Linked DNA regions of Saccharomyces cerevisiae S288C. Changing the gene in region 2 together with the main gene of any one other region gives a genetic interaction. Each region holds a gene or a part of one and is shown on either strand. Other genes may lie near its edges. The genes, in order: LAS17, SEC7, FAA4 and NMT1.

Region 1 (4,338 bases), on a different chromosome or scaffold from region 2:
GTAAAGTTAAGTCTCAAACTCCAAAGGTTGAAAAAACTGAAAAGCCAAAGAAACCAAAGGGTCGTGCTTACAAGAGATTATTGTACACCAGAAGATTCGTTAACGTTACCTTGGTTAACGGTAAGAGAAGAATGAACCCAGGTCCATCTGTCCAATAGATACTATCTAAAATTCTATACTTTTATTGTTCTACATGTGTAATTAAACAAAAATATTATAATTAGGAAATATTTACCCTTTTTACATGGGTTTTTGATTCGAACTGCTAAAATCTAGGATTTACTATACATCATTTTCTCAAACATTTGAAACGGCCATAGGGATGGCCATCATTGTAGCCCGACTATTACCTTGATCATTCAATCACTGACCGCCTTTGAACCTATATCAAAATTTCCTCCGATTAAAGAAACTATACATAAAAAGAGCAATTACTTTGATCATTAATAGTGAGTACATAAAATTACATATTTTCTATAACAGTAGTTTCATCTTTGTTTGCATTCCATTACCAATCATCACCATTGTCCATATCGTCATGAGCTCCCACTTTAGTTTTTCTTTTGTTTAAAGCTGCTGCCAACGCATCTGCTAAAGAAGCCGGAGGTCCACCAGGTGTGCCTCCATTTCCAGCCGCTGCTGGTGGTGAAGCAGATTCTCCACGTGCTTCCTGCAGTAAAACTGAGGGCTTATCTAGCTGCGATTTGTCAACTTTTCTCAAAGCGCCTATGCCACCTGCCCCTCTAATTGAAGCTAAAAGTGCATCACGACCTGCATCTCCAGTAGTTTCAGCGAATGAACCGCCTCCGGATGTTGATGTAGCTGGCATTTGAGGAGGTGGGGGTGGAGCTGGAGCTCCTCCAGATTGAGGTTGTTGAGTTAGGAATGCTGGTGGCGGAGGTGGTGCAGCACTCGTCGTCGATGGTAACGTTGGCGGAATAGGTGCTGAGGGTGCTGACTGAGGTATCTGCGACTGGCCTAAAGATGCCGGAGGAGGTGGTGGTGCCACTGGCACATTTGTGGCTTGCGAAGGTGCTTGAGTATTCTGAGGAAGGGGAACTGCAGGTTGTCCAGTTGCTGCAGTCATTTGTGGTGTCAGGGTATTGAAAGTTGTCACTGGAGGAGGGGGTGGAGATGACATGTTGCTATTTGTCTGATATCCAAAGGGGCGGTTAGAATTATTGTACTGTTGTGGATTTTGTTGCATCGTAACGTTTGGTGTGGGGCGAGATGCTCTTGGAGGAGGTGGTGGTGCTGGCCCTCTTCTTCCAGTGGCCTGTGGAAGGAGGCTATTTCCACCGGCAGAATTCAGGGTATTACTGGTTACGTGCCTATGTGGTGGAGGCGGTGGTGCTGGCCCACGCCTTGGCGGAGGTGGAGGAGCAGGTAGGCGAACACCTGAACCTTCAGTAGTGGTACGCATTGGCGGAGGAGGTGGCACAGGCCGATTATTTCTGTTAGGCAACTGTGGAAGGGGCCTATTCTGCTGTGGTATGCCCATTGAAGGAGCTTGATTAAACTGCTGCTGAGGTACCGGAAATGGAAATGGGTTTGTTGCAGACTGTGTCGAGGGAATTTCAGGAATTGGGAATGGAAATGGATTGCTTTGGGGTTGCGAAGGCGCGTTATTTTGAGGTGGAGAGTTATGTTGTGGAGGGTCTGGTAATGGCGCAAACTGATTTGGTAAAGGCGGTAAACTATGCTTTGGATGCGTTTCTTCTTTTCTTACTTCAGGAGATGCAGGAGGAAGAGCAGGGGCTGGGGTAGTCGGTGCGGATGCTGTTGTCGAATTGATATCGGAAAATGAACTTGTTTGGTCTGAATCAAATGTTTCGGCCGTTGGCGGAGGAGGGGGAGGAGCCTTATGCTTTGTAGTTGGAATTGTGTCCACATCTTCATAATTATATCTTTTCCTTTGATTGTCAATCAATGACTCCCCTCTTGGGCCGTGCACCACTTGAGATTTTTGTTCTTCTCTTACTTTCTTGGTTAATGCTACAGCATTTTTGTTCAACAAAGTTTTCCTGTTAGCATATCTTTCACGCTTTTGAACTCTCTTTAAAAAGTGCGATGCTTCATTAATATCTACAAACAATAAACCTGCAAAGCATTCTTCCATCTCAAATGTATGAAAAAAAGTACGGTCTTGATAGTATTCAAAATTCACATACAATTCTTGGTCCCAGATAACTCCTCTATGGCCATTGATGTCAACTAATTTCAAAAAAAAAGTATTCCCCACAAGATCGTCTACTAGAGCAAGAGCTCCTGAAAGTCCAGTGTACTGCCATTCATTTTTATCAGGGTATGCAATGTATAGTCGAGCCACCGTAACATCAATAATCTTATTCGACGCTTTTGGTAGAGCCCTTTTGATAATTTCCTTATCTGAAGAGTTTAGGAGTCCCATATTAAATCACGCCTATCAACACTTAAAGTAACGAACTGTAATTTGTAGCGGAGATGGCAATCGCTACAGCACTTCCTTTTCTACTATGTATATTCTACATTCAATATTTATTATTACATATTCATGATTTTTTTTCATAGGTATTGACTGGCCCCTTTTCGGACGTCTCGCACGTATTCAATGATCATATAAACTATTTGGAAAATTCAAAAAAAAACAACTATAAGATCAGTTAAGACTTATATCATAGATCTTTTAAACCAGAGACACAATTTCAAGTACCATGGGCAACTGCTTGCATTGCATTTAGTTTTGCCTTTTTTCTAATTGCAAAAGAAGAGTATTCCAAAACCACTTCTTTGATAAATCGTCCACGTCAGCCGGCGTTACTTGAAACTAAACGCATACTTTATGAAAAAGGGCCATCAACTTGTCTTTTTGTTAACATTCATTTTGAAAATATGAACTTTGGTATAATTGAAAATCTAGCATATCTATATTTTTTGAATATATTTAGGCGATAACTTAAAAAAGCATTGTTTCAGTTCTGAAGTTTGTTGCTTGTTTCTATTCTTTACTGGATGTCTGAAACCCCAAAAAAAAAAAAAAAAAAAGGACTCCACAAGTAGCGGCTGTAAGCGCGCTAAACTCCGACAGTGTATTATATATACGTAAACGATCCTGATAGAAAAATCCAATCCATTACCCCGGGATTATTTTATTACAGAGTAGGATTTTCTGGTGTTAAGTCTAGTGAGTTATCTTCTAACTATGAGCAGTCGTGTGTGCTACCATATTAATGGTCCCTTTTTCATAATCAAATTAATTGATCCAAAACATTTGAACTCTTTAACTTTCGAGGATTTTGTATACATTGCACTATTACTGCATAAGGCAAACGATATTGATTCTGTTTTGTTTACTGTTCTACAAAGCTCAGGCAAGTATTTCTCCTCGGGAGGTAAGTTTTCAGCAGTTAACAAGCTAAACGATGGAGACGTTACAAGCGAAGTGGAGAAAGTCTCAAAGCTGGTATCTGCTATAAGCTCTCCTAACATATTTGTGGCGAACGCATTTGCAATCCATAAAAAGGTTCTGGTGTGCTGTTTGAATGGACCGGCCATCGGACTTAGCGCATCGCTAGTTGCTCTTTGTGACATTGTTTACTCGCAAAACGATTCAGTATTTCTTCTTTTTCCCTTCAGCAATCTCGGTTTTGTCGCAGAAGTGGGAACTTCTGTTACCTTAACTCAAAAACTGGGTATAAATTCTGCAAACGAACATATGATTTTCAGCACACCAGTTCTATTTAAAGAATTGATAGGAACTATTATTACAAAAAATTATCAATTGACAAATACTGAAACATTCAATGAAAAAGTTCTTCAGGACATAAAGCAGAATTTAGAAGGGCTTTATCCGAAAAGTGTACTAGGTATGAAAGAATTGTTACACAGTGAAATGAAACAGAAGCTTATCAAAGCACAAGCAATGGAGACTAACGGAACCTTGCCTTTTTGGGCAAGCGGCGAGCCATTCAAAAGATTTAAACAGCTTCAAGAGGGAAACAGGCGCCACAAGTTATAATAATATAGCATTTAGAGATAGGATTTTAACATAAAAAATCTACTACACGATCATACTTCTGCAATTGTTAAATTCCGGGTTCTTTAATACTTTAATGTTGGCGCACAATATTTTATATCTGTTGTAAAATCCGCTTACAATATAAGTGAAATTGTTCCATTTTGTTTCATAGGAATTCTTACTCAAAAAGGATGTTTTTTAATATTCATATAATATTTACAAATAGCTCTCTGAAAAAAAGGATTTTTTTTTACACCTAATAAAACTGTCATTCATGTTAAGTAACTAAAGTGCTTCACAACTGTACTTAATGAACTGAATCAATTTCCTTGGCAATGCAA
Region 2 (7,650 bases):
CGTACGGCTTTTCTTGTTGCTGTCGGAATAATATCACCGAGATTCGAATTTTGTAAAAATTTGATGTATATTTTAACCCAATTTAGAAAGTCATTAGGTGAGGTTAAGATTGGCGGTGGTCTGACATGTTGATTAGTGGATGTCATATTAGACTTTGCTGAGGATGAATCAGGAAATGAATTACCTGACTCAGGTGACGGGGTGTTCAAATGTGTTCCAACATATTGTGGATATTGTGTAAACTGTGATTGTGCTCCAGGTGGAGCGTACATAGGTGACATTTGATAAGGTGGATACGGCATCAAAGATGGGTGCCCGTATACTGGCCAACCAGAAATATTGGCTTGTTGGGGAGTCATCATTCGCTGCTGTGGGTACGGCCCATTTTGTGGCAATGGTACTTGAGCAGCTTGAGGAGAGGCATGATGATGGTTCTCTGGAACAGCAGCTGAGGGAGGTGTTGTTGGCTGTTGAGAATTAGCCTGAGTGAAAACCTTCTCACATTCTTCTGTTTTGGAAGCTGAAATGTCTAACGGATCTTGAGTTGTTTGGACTTCTTTAGAAGTAACCGAAGCACAGGCGCTACCATGAGAAATGGGTGAATGTTGAGATAATTGTTGGGATTCCATTGTTGATAAAGGCTATAATATTAGGTATACAGAATATACTAGAAGTTCTCCTCGAGGGTCAGGAATCCCCATAATGGAATCTATATTTCTATATACCAATATTACGATTATTCCTCATTCTGTTTTATATGTTTCATTATCCTATTACATTATCAATCCTTGCACTTCAGCTTCCTCTAACTTCGATGACAGCTTCTCATAACTTATGTCATCATCTTAACACCGTATATGATAATATATTGATAATATAACTATTAGTTGATAGACGATAGTGGATTTTTATTCCAACACTATGTGTGTATTGTGTGTGCGTGTAATATAATCATTTCTAGTCATCTCTAGTCAAAGTAACTTATAAAAGCCTAAAAAAGGAGGATTTAACATGAATTGTCGGTCCTATAGTGTAGTGGTTATCACTTTCGGTTTTGATCCGGACAACCCCGGTTCGAATCCGGGTAGGACCTCTTTTTATTTTTACTCTAACAAATCAACATTGATATTTTTTGTTGATGTGTTAGAGTGGAGCCAACGATGCTCTTAAGATATACACTTTAGTACTTTTGAAGCTCTTACAGTTTTTTGATGTCGGAGAAGGCTTATACATATTGTTATTTTCCCTCTACAGGAAAGAAGGTGAACGTTTAGTTTTTATCAAGGCGCCGAGTAAATTTTATAATATCGAGGCGAGGGAAAAACAAAGCAACGAGAAAGGAAGCTCAAAGTTGGGATTTACATCATTTCTTTAAAAAGCATCATTGGCTTCTCTCCAATTGTTCAATAAACGCAGACTAATAGAAATTGAAGTCATTTTCCGGAGAAATATAAAATATTTTCTGCAACTAAGCTATACTCGATTTCTTTTAAGTTTCTCCAGAACCAATAAAAAGTAATATCTTAAACTGTTTCTTTCTCATTTTTTCCCCGAATTCCATTAAAGAAGATAAGAAACAAGTCTAAGTGCTACTATATCTGATGTCTGAACAGAATTCAGTAGTAAATGCTGAAAAAGGGGATGGCGAAATATCTTCAAATGTAGAGACTGCTTCTTCAGTCAATCCGTCTGTGAAACCACAGAATGCTATTAAAGAAGAAGCTAAAGAGACAAATGGTGAAGATCAAAAATGCAAAGGGCCAGAAAACGCTGGCAGTACGGCAGAAACAAAAGAAACAAGTAACGACGCTACCAACGGAATGAAAACGCCCGAAGAAACGGAAGATACAAATGACAAACGCCATGACGATGAAGGTGAAGATGGAGATGAAGATGAAGATGAAGATGAAGATGAAGATGAAGACAATGGGGACGAGGATGATGAGGACGTGGATAGCAGTAGTTCCGAAACCAGTTCCGAAGACGGGGAAGATTCTGAATCAGTCTCAGGGGAAAGTACTGAGAGTAGCTCTGGAGAAGATGAAGAATCTGATGAAAGCGATGGAAATACATCAAACAGCTCCTCTGGTGATGAAAGCGGGTCAGAAGAAGAAGAAGAAGAAGAAGAAGAAGAAGAAGAAGAGGAAAATGCTGGCGAACCAGCTATCGCTCATCAAGATAGTGTTCCCACCAACGATTCTACTGCCCCAAGGTCTACCCATACGAGGAACATATCACTATCTTCAAATGGTTCGAACACAAACTCAACCATAATTTTAGTGAAAACTACGTTGGAGACAATTTTAAATGATAAGGACATTAAAAAGAATTCGAATGCTCAGAAGGCTATCGAAAGGACATTACAAAAATTTAAGGAATTTGATCCGCAAACCACGAATAACCCACATTACGTGGATTCAATACTAGTATTCGAAGCACTAAGGGCAAGCTGTCGTACCAAATCCTCCAAAGTTCAAAGTTTGGCTTTAGATTGCCTGTCAAAATTGTTTTCTTTTAGATCGCTAGACGAGACCCTGTTAGTGAATCCACCCGATTCTTTAGCCTCTAATGATCAACGACAAGATGCTGCCGATGGAATAACGCCGCCTCCAAAACAAAAAATTATAGACGCTGCAATTGATACTATTTCAGACTGTTTTCAAGGTGAAGGCACTGATGACCGTGTGGAACTACAAATCGTTAGAGCTTTATCTAGTTGCATTTTAGAAGAGGATTCAAGTTCTTTATGCCACGGTGCTTCCTTGCTAAAGGCTATCAGAACAATCTACAACGTTTTCGTCTTTTCGTTGAACCCATCCAATCAAGGTATTGCACAGGCGACCTTGACACAAATTATTAGTTCGGTGTATGATAAAATCGATCTCAAACAAAGTACCTCTTCAGCAGTATCCTTATCGACAAAAAATCATCAACAACAATCCGCCATAGAACTTTCCGAGGCTTCTGAAAATGCAGAAACGCCGGCTCCTTTAACTCTGGAAAATATGGATAAGTTGAATGACGATGAGGAAAGACTAATGGACGCTCAACAGCCTGATTCTATCGCCATAACTAACCAAGATCTAGCTGTTAAAGATGCGTTCTTAGTGTTTAGAGTCATGGCGAAAATATGTGCTAAACCTTTGGAAACAGAACTCGACATGAGGTCACATGCCGTCAGGTCAAAGCTTTTATCTCTTCACATCATTTACTCTATTATCAAAGATCATATTGACGTATTCCTTTCCCACAACATTTTTCTACCAGGAAAGGAGCGTGTGTGCTTTATCGATTCAATTAGACAATATTTACGTCTTGTTTTATCAAGGAATGCTGCCTCGCCTCTAGCTCCAGTTTTCGAGGTTACTTTAGAAATTATGTGGCTATTGATTGCTAATTTGAGAGCAGATTTCGTGAAGGAAATTCCAGTTTTTTTAACAGAAATCTACTTCCCCATTTCAGAATTAACCACTTCCACCTCCCAACAAAAGAGATATTTTTTAAGTGTTATTCAACGAATTTGTAACGACCCAAGAACTTTAGTTGAATTTTACTTGAATTATGATTGTAACCCTGGAATGCCAAATGTAATGGAAATAACTGTTGATTATTTGACAAGATTGGCTTTAACTAGGGTGGAAATTACTCAGACTCAAAGATCATACTACGATGAACAAATATCAAAATCCCTGTCCACCTACAATTTCTCACAATTGCCCCTTTTGACTTCTTCCAACTTGTCTTCTAGTCCTGATGTTGGTCAAGTCAATTTACTTTTTCCACTTGATTTTGCTCTCAAAATGGTGTCACTAAATTGCATTGTGTCAGTTTTGCGTTCCTTAAGCTCATGGGCTCACAAAGCTTTAAATCCAAACACACACACTGCTAATAAGGTATTACTAAACACAACATCTTCAGCTCGTCAAGAATCTAGATCATCTTTGAGTAACGACGTAAGGTCTTCTATTATGACAAGTAATGATGACTTCAAACCAACATATGAAGACGAAGAAAGCAGATCATTGAGCAGTCAAAACATTGACGCAGACGACCCCACACAATTTGAAAATTTGAAACTAAGGAAAACTGCTTTATCGGAATGTATTGCTATTTTCAACAATAAACCCAAGAAAGCTATTCCAGTACTTATTAAAAAAGGATTTTTGAAAGATGATTCTCCAATTTCCATTGCCAAGTGGTTATTAGAAACAGAAGGCCTCGACATGGCCGCTGTTGGGGATTATCTAGGCGAAGGAGACGACAAGAACATCGCTATAATGCACGCATTTGTTGATGAGTTTGACTTCACTGGTATGTCCATTGTTGACGCATTAAGGTCATTTTTACAAAGTTTCAGATTGCCTGGAGAAGGTCAAAAAATTGACAGATTCATGCTGAAATTTGCGGAAAGATTTGTGGACCAAAACCCCGGAGTCTTTTCAAAGGCGGATACTGCATATGTGCTTTCGTATTCTTTGATCATGTTGAATACTGATTTACATTCGTCACAAATCAAAAATAAAATGTCTTTACAAGAGTTTTTAGAAAACAACGAAGGTATTGACAACGGAAGAGATTTACCAAGAGACTTCTTGGAAGGTTTGTTCAACGAAATTGCTAACAATGAAATCAAGTTAATTTCTGAACAGCATCAGGCAATGCTTTCAGGTGATACCAATCTTGTCCAACAACAGCAATCTGCTTTCAACTTCTTTAATTCTCGTGATTTGACAAGAGAGGCATATAATCAAGTCTCAAAAGAAATTTCATCTAAAACGGAATTAGTCTTTAAGAATTTAAACAAAAATAAAGGAGGCCCAGACGTCTATTATGCTGCTTCCCACGTTGAGCATGTTAAATCAATTTTCGAGACACTATGGATGTCCTTTTTAGCAGCTCTAACCCCCCCATTTAAGGATTATGATGACATTGACACAACCAATAAGTGTTTAGAAGGCTTGAAAATATCAATTAAAATTGCTTCTACTTTTAGAATCAATGATGCTAGAACCTCCTTTGTAGGTGCGTTAGTCCAATTTTGTAACCTTCAAAACCTTGAAGAAATCAAAGTTAAAAATGTCAATGCAATGGTAATTCTTCTTGAAGTCGCGTTATCAGAAGGAAATTACTTGGAGGGATCGTGGAAGGACATTTTGCTGGTCGTGTCTCAAATGGAAAGACTACAATTGATATCCAAAGGTATCGACAGAGATACGGTTCCAGATGTTGCACAAGCTCGTGTTGCAAACCCTAGAGTTTCTTACGAATCATCAAGATCCAATAATACATCTTTCTTTGATGTTTGGGGCAAGAAGGCAACTCCCACAGAATTGGCTCAAGAAAAACACCATAATCAAACCTTATCACCCGAAATCTCTAAATTCATTTCCTCCAGTGAATTAGTCGTTTTGATGGACAATATATTTACCAAAAGTTCCGAGTTATCAGGTAATGCTATCGTTGATTTTATCAAAGCTTTAACCGCTGTATCTTTAGAAGAAATTGAATCATCTGAAAATGCTTCCACACCAAGAATGTTTTCCTTGCAAAAAATGGTCGATGTATGTTACTACAATATGGATCGTATCAAACTAGAATGGACGCCGCTTTGGGCTGTTATGGGAAAAGCTTTCAACAAGATTGCTACAAACTCTAACTTAGCAGTAGTATTTTTCGCTATCGATTCCCTGCGTCAATTGTCTATGAGATTTTTAGATATTGAGGAATTATCAGGTTTTGAATTTCAACATGATTTTTTAAAACCTTTTGAATACACGGTTCAAAATAGTGGCAACACTGAAGTTCAAGAAATGATTATTGAGTGTTTTAGGAACTTCATATTGACAAAATCGGAAAGTATCAAATCTGGCTGGAAGCCTATTCTTGAATCCTTACAATATACGGCTCGCTCAAGCACTGAATCCATTGTATTAAAGACGCAATTGCTGGTTAGCAATGATATTGTGACAAATCACTTCGAAAACGTATTCTCTCAAGAAGATGCCTTTTCTGAGTTAGTTGGTGTCTTCAGAGAAATCACCAAAAATAAGAGATTCCAAAAGCTATCTCTACATGCTTTGGAGTCTCTAAGAAAGATGACTCAGAACGTCGCAGACATCTGTTTTTACAATGAAAATAAGACTGAAGAAGAAAGAAAACATAACGATGCTTTACTTCGTGGGAAAGACATATTCCAGGATGTGTGGTTCCCTATGTTATTCTGCTTCAATGATACGATCATGACAGCTGAAGACTTAGAAGTTAGATCACGTGCATTAAACTATATGTTCGATGCCCTAGTGGCATATGGTGGTAAATTCAATGATGATTTCTGGGAAAAGATTTGTAAGAAGTTACTATTTCCTATTTTCGGTGTATTATCCAAACATTGGGAAGTCAACCAATTCAATAGTCATGATGATTTAAGTGTTTGGCTTTCGACCACGTTAATTCAAGCCTTAAGGAACTTGATTGCCCTTTTTACGCATTACTTTGAATCGTTGAACAGAATGCTCGATGGATTTTTGGGTCTGCTGGTATCCTGTATTTGTCAAGAAAATGACACTATTGCTAGAATTGGGAGATCCTGCCTGCAACAATTGATATTGCAAAACGTATCTAAATTCAATGAGTACCATTGGAATCAAATAGGTGACGTATTCGATAAATTGTTTGATTTAACCACTGCTAATGAATTGTTCGATTATGATCCGTTACAGCAAGGAAGAAAATCATCTGTATCTCATCACCAAACAACTAATGATACCAGCCAACACTCAGATGATGATAGCAACGACAGAAGGGAGAACGATTCTAATATCAGTGAGACGGTCGAAAGAGCGCATCAAGAAGAATCCAGCGAAGACGTTGGTGGTGACATGGTTGAAACACTCAATGGGCAAACTAAGCTTAATAATGGCAATTCCGTTCCGACGGTAAAGGACGAATTGAATCCAAAGCCCGCTAGTCTAAGTATCCCCAAGAAAACTAAGCACATGAAACGAAACGAAAGTAACGAAGATATACGTAGGAGAATAAACATCAAGAATTCTATTGTTGTCAAATGTGTTTTACAGCTTTTGATGATAGAGCTGCTCAACGAATTATTCGAGAACGAAGATTTTGCCCACTGTATCCCTTACAAGGAAGCCATTAGAATTACAAGATTGTTGGAGAAATCGTACGAATTTTCTCGTGACTTTAATGAAGATTATGGGTTAAGAACAAGACTAGTAGAGGCTCGTGTAGTTGATAAAATACCAAACCTGTTGAAACAAGAAACGAGTGCTGCTGCAGTTCTCCTTGACATTATGTTTCAGTTGTATCTGAACGATGATGAGAAGAAGGCTGATTTAATAACTCGTCTGATCACCATTTGCATCCAGGTCGTAGAGGGTTATGTTTCTTTGGATGATAGAACCATGGAACGTAGTATCAATGCCTGGCGTTCAGTGATAGTTGAAATATTACAAGGTTACTACGAATTTGATGATGAAGACTTTAGACTATACTGTCCTGCTATGTATGCTCTGGTGATTCAAATATTAGATAAGAGCGTTCCAACGGAGTTGAGACATGCTATAAAACAATTTCTAAGCAGAGTTGGTGAATTATACCTTTCTACTGATTAAGGCTTTGTTGAATGGTCCA
Region 3 (4,208 bases), on a different chromosome or scaffold from region 2:
CTAAAGGCAAGAGAGAACTGAATCCGCTAGACGTTATTACCACAACGGTCACCGAGACCAAGTACAAGACAGTCACCGTCACTGCCAAAACTTAGCGCGGTTTTTTCTACCTTCCCTTTTTTCATCTTTTTGTTATATATATATACAGAGACACTCATGCGAATTTTCGCAAAACGAAGAAAAAAACATAAAATTTTCGTTTGTATCTACATGACTATCCTTTAATTATTACCTTTCTGTCAAATGTTTTATGGGAATATATATGTTAATATGAGCCAATAACTCACTAAAAACTCACTGATTTCGTTCCCTCTGTTTAGCTTCCTGCTCGATTCTCTTGATGGTCTGCTCTCTCTTAAAGTCGATGACCCTCTTCTCCTTGAAGTACTTGATCCAGCTATGGGCGCAATTCTCCTCAAATTTTTCATTTTCCACCTTGCAGTGCGACTTTATACTCTTGCTATTCTTGGGGTCCATTGCGTCCAAGATGTCTGCCTTGTCCAAACACTGGAAGAATGCGTCCCTGGACTCCCAGCACAACTTTCTCTGTGAACGGGTATTAGGGGGTTGTGATTCCTTTTTGCCACCATCAAATGAAAATAAGCCCATCGCTATATTACTACTATTCCTTTCTGTATATTCGTGTATCTATGTTCCTGCGCAGCGCTACAATAGTACCCGTCTATGTATGTATGTATGTATGTATGTAGGCGAATCTTCTCCCCCATTCTACAAAGCAGCACCTACCACCGCAGCACCGTTTCACATGTCCGTCTCTTTTGTTCAGCTCAGCTACAATCGTCAATCGCACTTTCTTCCGCGCGGGCGAGCCCGGTTTTGTTGGATTTGCTCAGGTGCCAATATACCATCAAGGAACGGACAGGGACCTGACAATACAATAGGCCATTTACATCACAATGCACAGGGACAGAAATTTATACACGATAACAATACCAACTAAACAAAAATATCTCCCGAGCCGATGCTTATTCCGCGGGTTCGATGCCGAAATAATTGTTGCATACGCTTTATCCAACACGATGGAGCGTGTTGGGCGCTTAAAGAAGAGACTCACTAAACTGTTCGGCTTTTTGGCTGCGCGTCTTTGCCGTTTCCCAACAAAAAACAATCATACTTAGTAACAAGAAAGACAAAAGCGCAAACCGAACCGCCCAGCTCAACCATCTTCGCCAAGTAGCGGCAAACTTATATAAGCTCCAACGATGTCCCCATCAATTAAGAACCCTCGATTGTCGGCGATCTATTTTTCTATTCTGGGTGTTTCTCGGCCTTCGTTCATCTCGTTCTTTCTACTCTTAGCCCTCATCTTTCTCTTCTGCATTCTTTTCACCTCATTAAGAACATTCGCGGCGCCGCTTTACCCCAACAAAAACAGCCCATCTTTTGTTCTACCTCTTTCAGATAAGGCTCAACAGATAGACAATAACTGATCATTCTTTCTTTTGTTTGCAACCCCTCTGAGTTGACATAAAAGCGAGAATACAAAAGAACCAGCATTAGTAACACATCATTTTTTTCTCTGTTCTTCACTATTTCTTGAAAAACTAAGAAGTACGCATCAAAATGACCGAACAATATTCCGTTGCAGTTGGCGAAGCCGCCAATGAGCATGAAACCGCTCCAAGAAGAAATATCAGGGTTAAAGACCAGCCTTTGATTAGACCCATAAACTCCTCAGCATCTACACTGTACGAATTCGCCCTGGAATGTTTTACCAAGGGTGGTAAGAGAGACGGTATGGCATGGAGAGATATTATAGATATACATGAGACGAAAAAAACCATAGTCAAGAGGGTGGATGGTAAGGATAAGCCCATCGAAAAAACATGGTTGTACTACGAACTGACTCCCTACATAACCATGACATACGAGGAGATGATCTGCGTAATGCACGACATTGGACGTGGGCTGATAAAGATTGGTGTTAAACCTAACGGTGAGAACAAGTTCCACATCTTTGCCTCTACTTCTCACAAGTGGATGAAAACTTTTCTTGGTTGCATGTCACAAGGTATTCCTGTGGTCACCGCGTACGACACTTTGGGTGAGAGCGGTTTGATTCACTCCATGGTGGAAACAGATTCCGTCGCCATTTTCACGGACAACCAGCTGTTGTCCAAATTAGCAGTTCCTTTGAAAACCGCCAAGAACGTAAAATTCGTCATTCACAACGAACCCATCGATCCAAGTGACAAAAGACAAAATGGTAAGCTTTACAAGGCTGCCAAGGATGCTGTTGACAAAATCAAGGAAGTTAGACCGGACATAAAAATCTACAGTTTCGATGAAATTATTGAGATAGGTAAAAAGGCCAAGGACGAGGTTGAATTGCATTTCCCCAAGCCTGAAGATCCAGCTTGTATCATGTACACTTCTGGTTCCACTGGTACACCAAAGGGTGTGGTATTGACACATTACAACATTGTAGCTGGTATTGGTGGTGTGGGCCATAACGTTATCGGATGGATTGGCCCAACAGACCGTATTATCGCATTCTTGCCATTGGCTCATATTTTTGAATTAACCTTTGAATTCGAAGCGTTCTACTGGAATGGTATCCTAGGGTACGCCAATGTCAAGACTTTAACCCCAACTTCTACACGTAATTGCCAAGGTGACCTGATGGAGTTTAAACCTACCGTAATGGTGGGTGTCGCCGCAGTTTGGGAAACAGTGAGAAAAGGTATCCTGGCCAAGATCAACGAATTGCCCGGTTGGTCTCAAACGCTTTTCTGGACTGTCTATGCTTTGAAAGAGAGAAATATACCATGTAGCGGCTTGCTGAGTGGGTTGATCTTCAAGAGAATCAGAGAAGCAACCGGTGGAAACTTAAGGTTTATTCTGAACGGTGGGTCTGCAATCAGCATAGACGCCCAAAAATTCCTCTCCAACCTTCTATGTCCTATGCTCATTGGATATGGGCTAACTGAGGGTGTGGCTAATGCCTGTGTCCTGGAGCCTGAACATTTTGATTACGGTATTGCTGGTGACCTTGTCGGAACTATTACAGCTAAATTGGTGGATGTCGAAGATTTGGGCTATTTTGCCAAGAATAATCAAGGTGAATTGCTGTTTAAGGGTGCACCCATCTGTTCTGAATACTATAAGAATCCTGAAGAAACTGCTGCGGCCTTTACCGATGATGGCTGGTTCCGTACCGGTGATATCGCTGAATGGACCCCCAAGGGACAAGTTAAGATCATTGATAGAAAGAAAAATTTGGTTAAGACCTTAAATGGTGAGTACATTGCATTGGAAAAATTAGAATCCATTTACAGATCAAATCCTTACGTCCAAAACATCTGTGTCTACGCTGATGAAAACAAAGTTAAGCCTGTCGGTATTGTGGTCCCTAACTTAGGACACTTGTCTAAGCTGGCTATCGAATTAGGTATAATGGTACCAGGTGAAGATGTCGAAAGCTATATCCATGAAAAGAAGCTACAGGATGCCGTTTGCAAAGATATGCTGTCAACTGCCAAATCTCAAGGCTTGAATGGTATTGAATTATTATGTGGCATTGTTTTCTTTGAAGAAGAATGGACTCCAGAAAATGGCCTTGTTACATCCGCCCAAAAATTAAAGAGAAGAGATATTCTAGCGGCTGTCAAGCCAGATGTGGAAAGAGTTTATAAAGAAAACACTTAAAGGAAGACATAGTTTTTTACTTTCCCCCCTGCCCTTCATAAACACTACGTTTCATTTTCTAAGAGCATCAATTTGCAAACACCTGAACTACTTGCACAATACATAGTTTCTTCTCCTACAGATACAGTTAATAATTAATAAATAACATTACACATAAACATGTTTAAGTTTCATTTCAGCAAGACAAGATTGACATTATTAAGCGTGATCTAAACTATGAATTTCTCCCGGGTATGAAACTACATTCTACTATTGATTTTAATAGATGAGCGATTAAACGGGATATTTGAATTTATGACTTCTGTAAACCATCGAATGCCCCAACTTTTAGTAATCAAACATGCACCGAAAACAACCATATCAATCAATGTCTTGCTTCATTCTTGATTTCTCATCTCTTTCTTTCCTTCGTAATTTCACCTTCTCCCTCCGCTCCTTTTATCGAAGAAACATCGTATTACAATTAACAACGCATTGCACTATAGTACACCAAGTTTGAAAATAAAAACCTCGCCCACGTTCATTTATGCAACAAGAAA
Region 4 (3,704 bases), on a different chromosome or scaffold from region 2:
TTTCCTCACCTGCCATGGCAGACCAGTATTTACTCATTTGACTTTCGTCAGAAATTCTAACATCTGTTAAAGCTACTCGAGAATCATAACCACCGGTCAAAAGAATGGAACCATTCAACATGTGCCATTCAGATGATGAAACATTTTTGTTTGAATGAATGGAAGCTAAGGAGCGGGCTGCGTTACCTGAGTTCAAATCCCATAGTTTTACGGTATGATCTGCAGAGGTGGATGCTAAAACGGAACGGAAATATTTGTTGTGTGCCATGGATAAAACAGCATCGGTATGATGAGTAGTAATGTGTCCAGTCTTAGACTTCTTCTTCTTCTTTTTGCTTTTCAAAGACACCATTGAATTATCAAGAGGTTCACCCAGAATCATATCGGGAAAGGCCTTGTCAACACAGTCCAAGTTCCAAATTTCAATTTGTGGATCAAACGTACCAATGGCAGCATAATTGGCTGCTTCTTCGGAATTGGATCCAACCTTGTAGTCAAGCCACTCAACACATAGTGGAAAAGCAGGCAACATTAAATCATGGTGAACGTAAAGTGCAGGGTCACGAACCAATCCACGAGCAACATCTGGGTCAGCTTCATCACCTTCTTCAACGGGAATATCGCTACTGTGGAACCCAGCACCGTCATCGTAAACGTAGATATCCAAATACGAAACGTCATCTTCTGTTCTCGCAGCAAGAACTAAATTATCGGATGGGTAAACTTGTAACTCCTGCTTCTCCTCTTGACTATCCTCTTGATTAGGCAATGAAATATATGGATCTTCACCTTTTTCACCCTCATGGAATTTAACATCGCTATCATTACTTAAACCCGGGAACATGGAAACGTCTTTACCACCCTCATTATCTGCAATTTCCTCATCGTCATATTCTTCCAGGTTATATTCTTTCAAATCATCATCTATATCCAACTGATCCTTCAACTTATTAGAACTACCTGTTGCGGCGTCATCTTCAACACCTGATTCGCCTTCTGCTTCTTCCAAAGTAGCTTTAGCATCATCCAAATTCAACTGTGCTAATTGGTTAATTCTTTCCACTTCCTCATCATCCAGAACATACTTTTCAGGAAATTCCGAGGAAAACCCTCTTGGAACCCAATTAGTAGCAGAAATCATTAGTTATTTTGTTTTTTTTATTCGTCTTCTAAGTTTCCAAATAAGGAAGGCGTAATAGACTCAACTGAGGGTACACTTGCTATCGTTTACAAATTAAAACTCTTTGCTTCTTTCAAACTCATCTCAGCTCATCGAGACAAATTTTTCACTTCTTTTTTTCGAGGGCGAGAAAATTTATTACCCGACTGGATATAATATATATAGAATAATACATATGATCAACTCAAGGTAGGGCCTATGGAAAAGTTTTACAACGGACAAGGCAATTAAATTGAATTGCACGATTCTCTAATTTTTTATTCTTGCAGATTTGTTTCATGATAAATTCGCCAGTTAGAGTTCTTATTATGGGTGGGTAAGAATTCAGTTAACGTTTAAAATTCTCAATATTAATCGCAAAGTGGAAAGCAAAGCAAAGTCTCACTAGAAATTGCAGGCGGACTATGTATAATTACGTAATAGTAGTTCTTGCAACAGAGGATCCTTTCGACTCTTTTGAAAGGATACTGTCATAAAACAATAGGATAAAATAATTTCAGCCGTTGCTCATGATAAAAGTAATTCACTATAATTGAAGATGATATGTGTTGCACGCTTTTTAGAGAATGATCTGTACAATAGCTCTGGTTGTCATAGAGCTTCGGTAGTAAACGTATTTATAGAATGTCAGAAGAGGATAAAGCGAAAAAATTAGAGAATTTATTGAAGTTATTACAGTTGAATAATGACGATACTTCAAAATTCACTCAAGAACAGAAAAAAGCTATGAAAGACCACAAATTCTGGAGAACGCAACCGGTCAAAGATTTCGATGAAAAGGTGGTGGAAGAAGGCCCCATTGATAAGCCAAAGACACCGGAAGATATATCTGACAAGCCACTACCTTTATTGTCTAGCTTCGAATGGTGTAGTATTGATGTGGACAACAAAAAACAGCTTGAAGATGTTTTCGTTCTACTAAATGAAAACTACGTGGAAGACCGCGATGCAGGCTTCAGATTTAACTATACCAAAGAATTCTTCAATTGGGCTTTAAAGAGTCCAGGTTGGAAGAAGGATTGGCATATTGGTGTTCGCGTTAAAGAAACACAGAAATTAGTTGCCTTTATCTCAGCCATACCAGTAACACTTGGTGTTAGAGGTAAACAAGTGCCTAGTGTAGAAATCAATTTCTTGTGCGTTCACAAACAGCTAAGATCGAAGAGATTAACACCTGTTCTAATTAAAGAAATTACGAGACGAGTGAACAAATGTGACATCTGGCATGCATTGTACACGGCAGGTATTGTTTTGCCAGCACCTGTGAGTACGTGTCGTTATACTCATCGTCCCTTGAATTGGAAGAAACTTTATGAAGTAGATTTCACAGGGTTACCAGATGGGCACACAGAGGAGGATATGATTGCTGAGAATGCGTTACCGGCCAAAACAAAGACAGCGGGATTGAGAAAATTAAAGAAGGAAGATATTGACCAAGTTTTTGAGTTGTTCAAAAGATATCAATCCAGGTTCGAACTAATTCAAATTTTCACAAAAGAAGAATTCGAACATAATTTCATTGGTGAAGAATCGTTACCATTGGATAAACAAGTAATTTTCTCATATGTAGTCGAACAGCCCGATGGAAAAATTACAGACTTCTTCTCATTTTACTCATTGCCATTCACAATCCTAAATAACACAAAATATAAGGACCTAGGCATCGGGTACTTGTATTATTATGCCACCGATGCAGATTTCCAATTCAAAGACAGGTTTGATCCAAAAGCTACTAAGGCTTTGAAAACAAGATTGTGTGAATTGATTTATGACGCTTGTATTTTGGCCAAAAACGCTAATATGGATGTTTTTAACGCGTTGACTTCGCAAGATAATACATTGTTCTTGGATGATTTGAAGTTCGGGCCCGGTGACGGGTTCTTGAACTTCTATTTATTTAATTATAGAGCAAAGCCGATTACCGGTGGCTTGAATCCCGACAATAGTAACGACATTAAAAGGCGTAGCAATGTCGGTGTTGTTATGTTGTAGTGGCTGAAAGGACGAGGCGTATATAGTTTTCGTGTACATAGCCGACAGAATTTGACCACATTTAGTTTTTCCGCATAGTCAATTGACGAAGTGAAAAAATAATTAATCCAATGGCTGGCTTTAGAGTGTCAGCCTCCAAAATAAATCCAAAAATAGACAAAGAGAATCACTATAATTACCGCCTTGGAGTCCAAGTTGGCTTGAGAACTCGCATTTATTTTTAGCGACTGAGGTAGCTGAAAAACGCCTACTTTCTCAGAAGGCGGTAGTGAGCATATATAAGTATGTAAGAAAGATCAACTCTTCTGGACTAGATACTCACCGATCTAGTGAAAATATAAACAAACCCAACATATATATAAAATGAAGGCCTGTTCCATATTATTTACCACCTTAATTACTCTAGCCGCTGCTCAAAAAGACTCTGGTTCCTTAGATGGCCAGAACTCTGAAGATAGCTCACAAAAGGAAAGCTCAAACTCTCAAGAGATCACACCTACCACGACAAAGGAAGCCCAAGAAAGCGCATCAA

Evidence for each region.
Region 1: mutations in SEC7 (region 2) and LAS17 are lethal when combined (synthetic lethality), as found in Saccharomyces cerevisiae (one large-scale study listed by BioGRID).
Region 3: mutations in SEC7 (region 2) and FAA4 together harm fitness less than expected from each alone (positive genetic interaction), as found in Saccharomyces cerevisiae (one large-scale study listed by BioGRID).
Region 4: mutations in SEC7 (region 2) and NMT1 together harm fitness more than expected from each alone (negative genetic interaction), as found in Saccharomyces cerevisiae (2 studies listed by BioGRID).

What each region holds. Positions count from the first base shown.
Region 1 is NC_001147.6:674,011-678,348, reverse strand, and holds LAS17 (actin-binding protein LAS17), read right to left. Parts: upstream 2,411-4,338; coding exon 509-2,410; downstream 1-508. Other genes in the region: 40S ribosomal protein eS30 RPS30B, read left to right, coding at 1-158; putative dodecenoyl-CoA isomerase DCI1, read left to right, coding at 3,182-3,997.
Region 2 is NC_001136.10:796,174-803,823, reverse strand, and holds SEC7 (Arf family guanine nucleotide exchange factor SEC7), read left to right. Parts: upstream 1-1,601; coding exon 1,602-7,631; downstream 7,632-7,650. Other genes in the region: YDR170W-A (gag protein), read right to left, coding at 1-629. UniProt on the Saccharomyces cerevisiae protein: Guanine exchange factor that acts as an activator of ARF1 at the trans-Golgi network and is thus involved in vesicular budding and traffic between compartments of the Golgi apparatus.
Region 3 is NC_001145.3:758,223-762,430, forward strand, and holds FAA4 (long-chain fatty acid-CoA ligase FAA4), read left to right. Parts: upstream 1-1,584; coding exon 1,585-3,669; downstream 3,670-4,208. Other genes in the region: YMR244W (uncharacterized protein), read left to right, coding at 1-95; COA6 (Coa6p), read right to left, coding at 295-609. UniProt on the Saccharomyces cerevisiae protein: Activates long-chain fatty acids (LCFA) by esterification of the fatty acids into metabolically active CoA-thioesters for subsequent degradation or incorporation into phospholipids.
Region 4 is NC_001144.5:541,405-545,108, reverse strand, and holds NMT1 (glycylpeptide N-tetradecanoyltransferase NMT1), read left to right. Parts: upstream 1-1,804; coding exon 1,805-3,172; downstream 3,173-3,704. Other genes in the region: rRNA-processing protein PWP1, read right to left, coding at 1-1,141; NCW2 (Ncw2p), read left to right, coding at 3,536-3,704. UniProt on the Saccharomyces cerevisiae protein: Adds a myristoyl group to the N-terminal glycine residue of certain cellular proteins. Substrate specificity requires an N-terminal glycine in the nascent polypeptide substrates.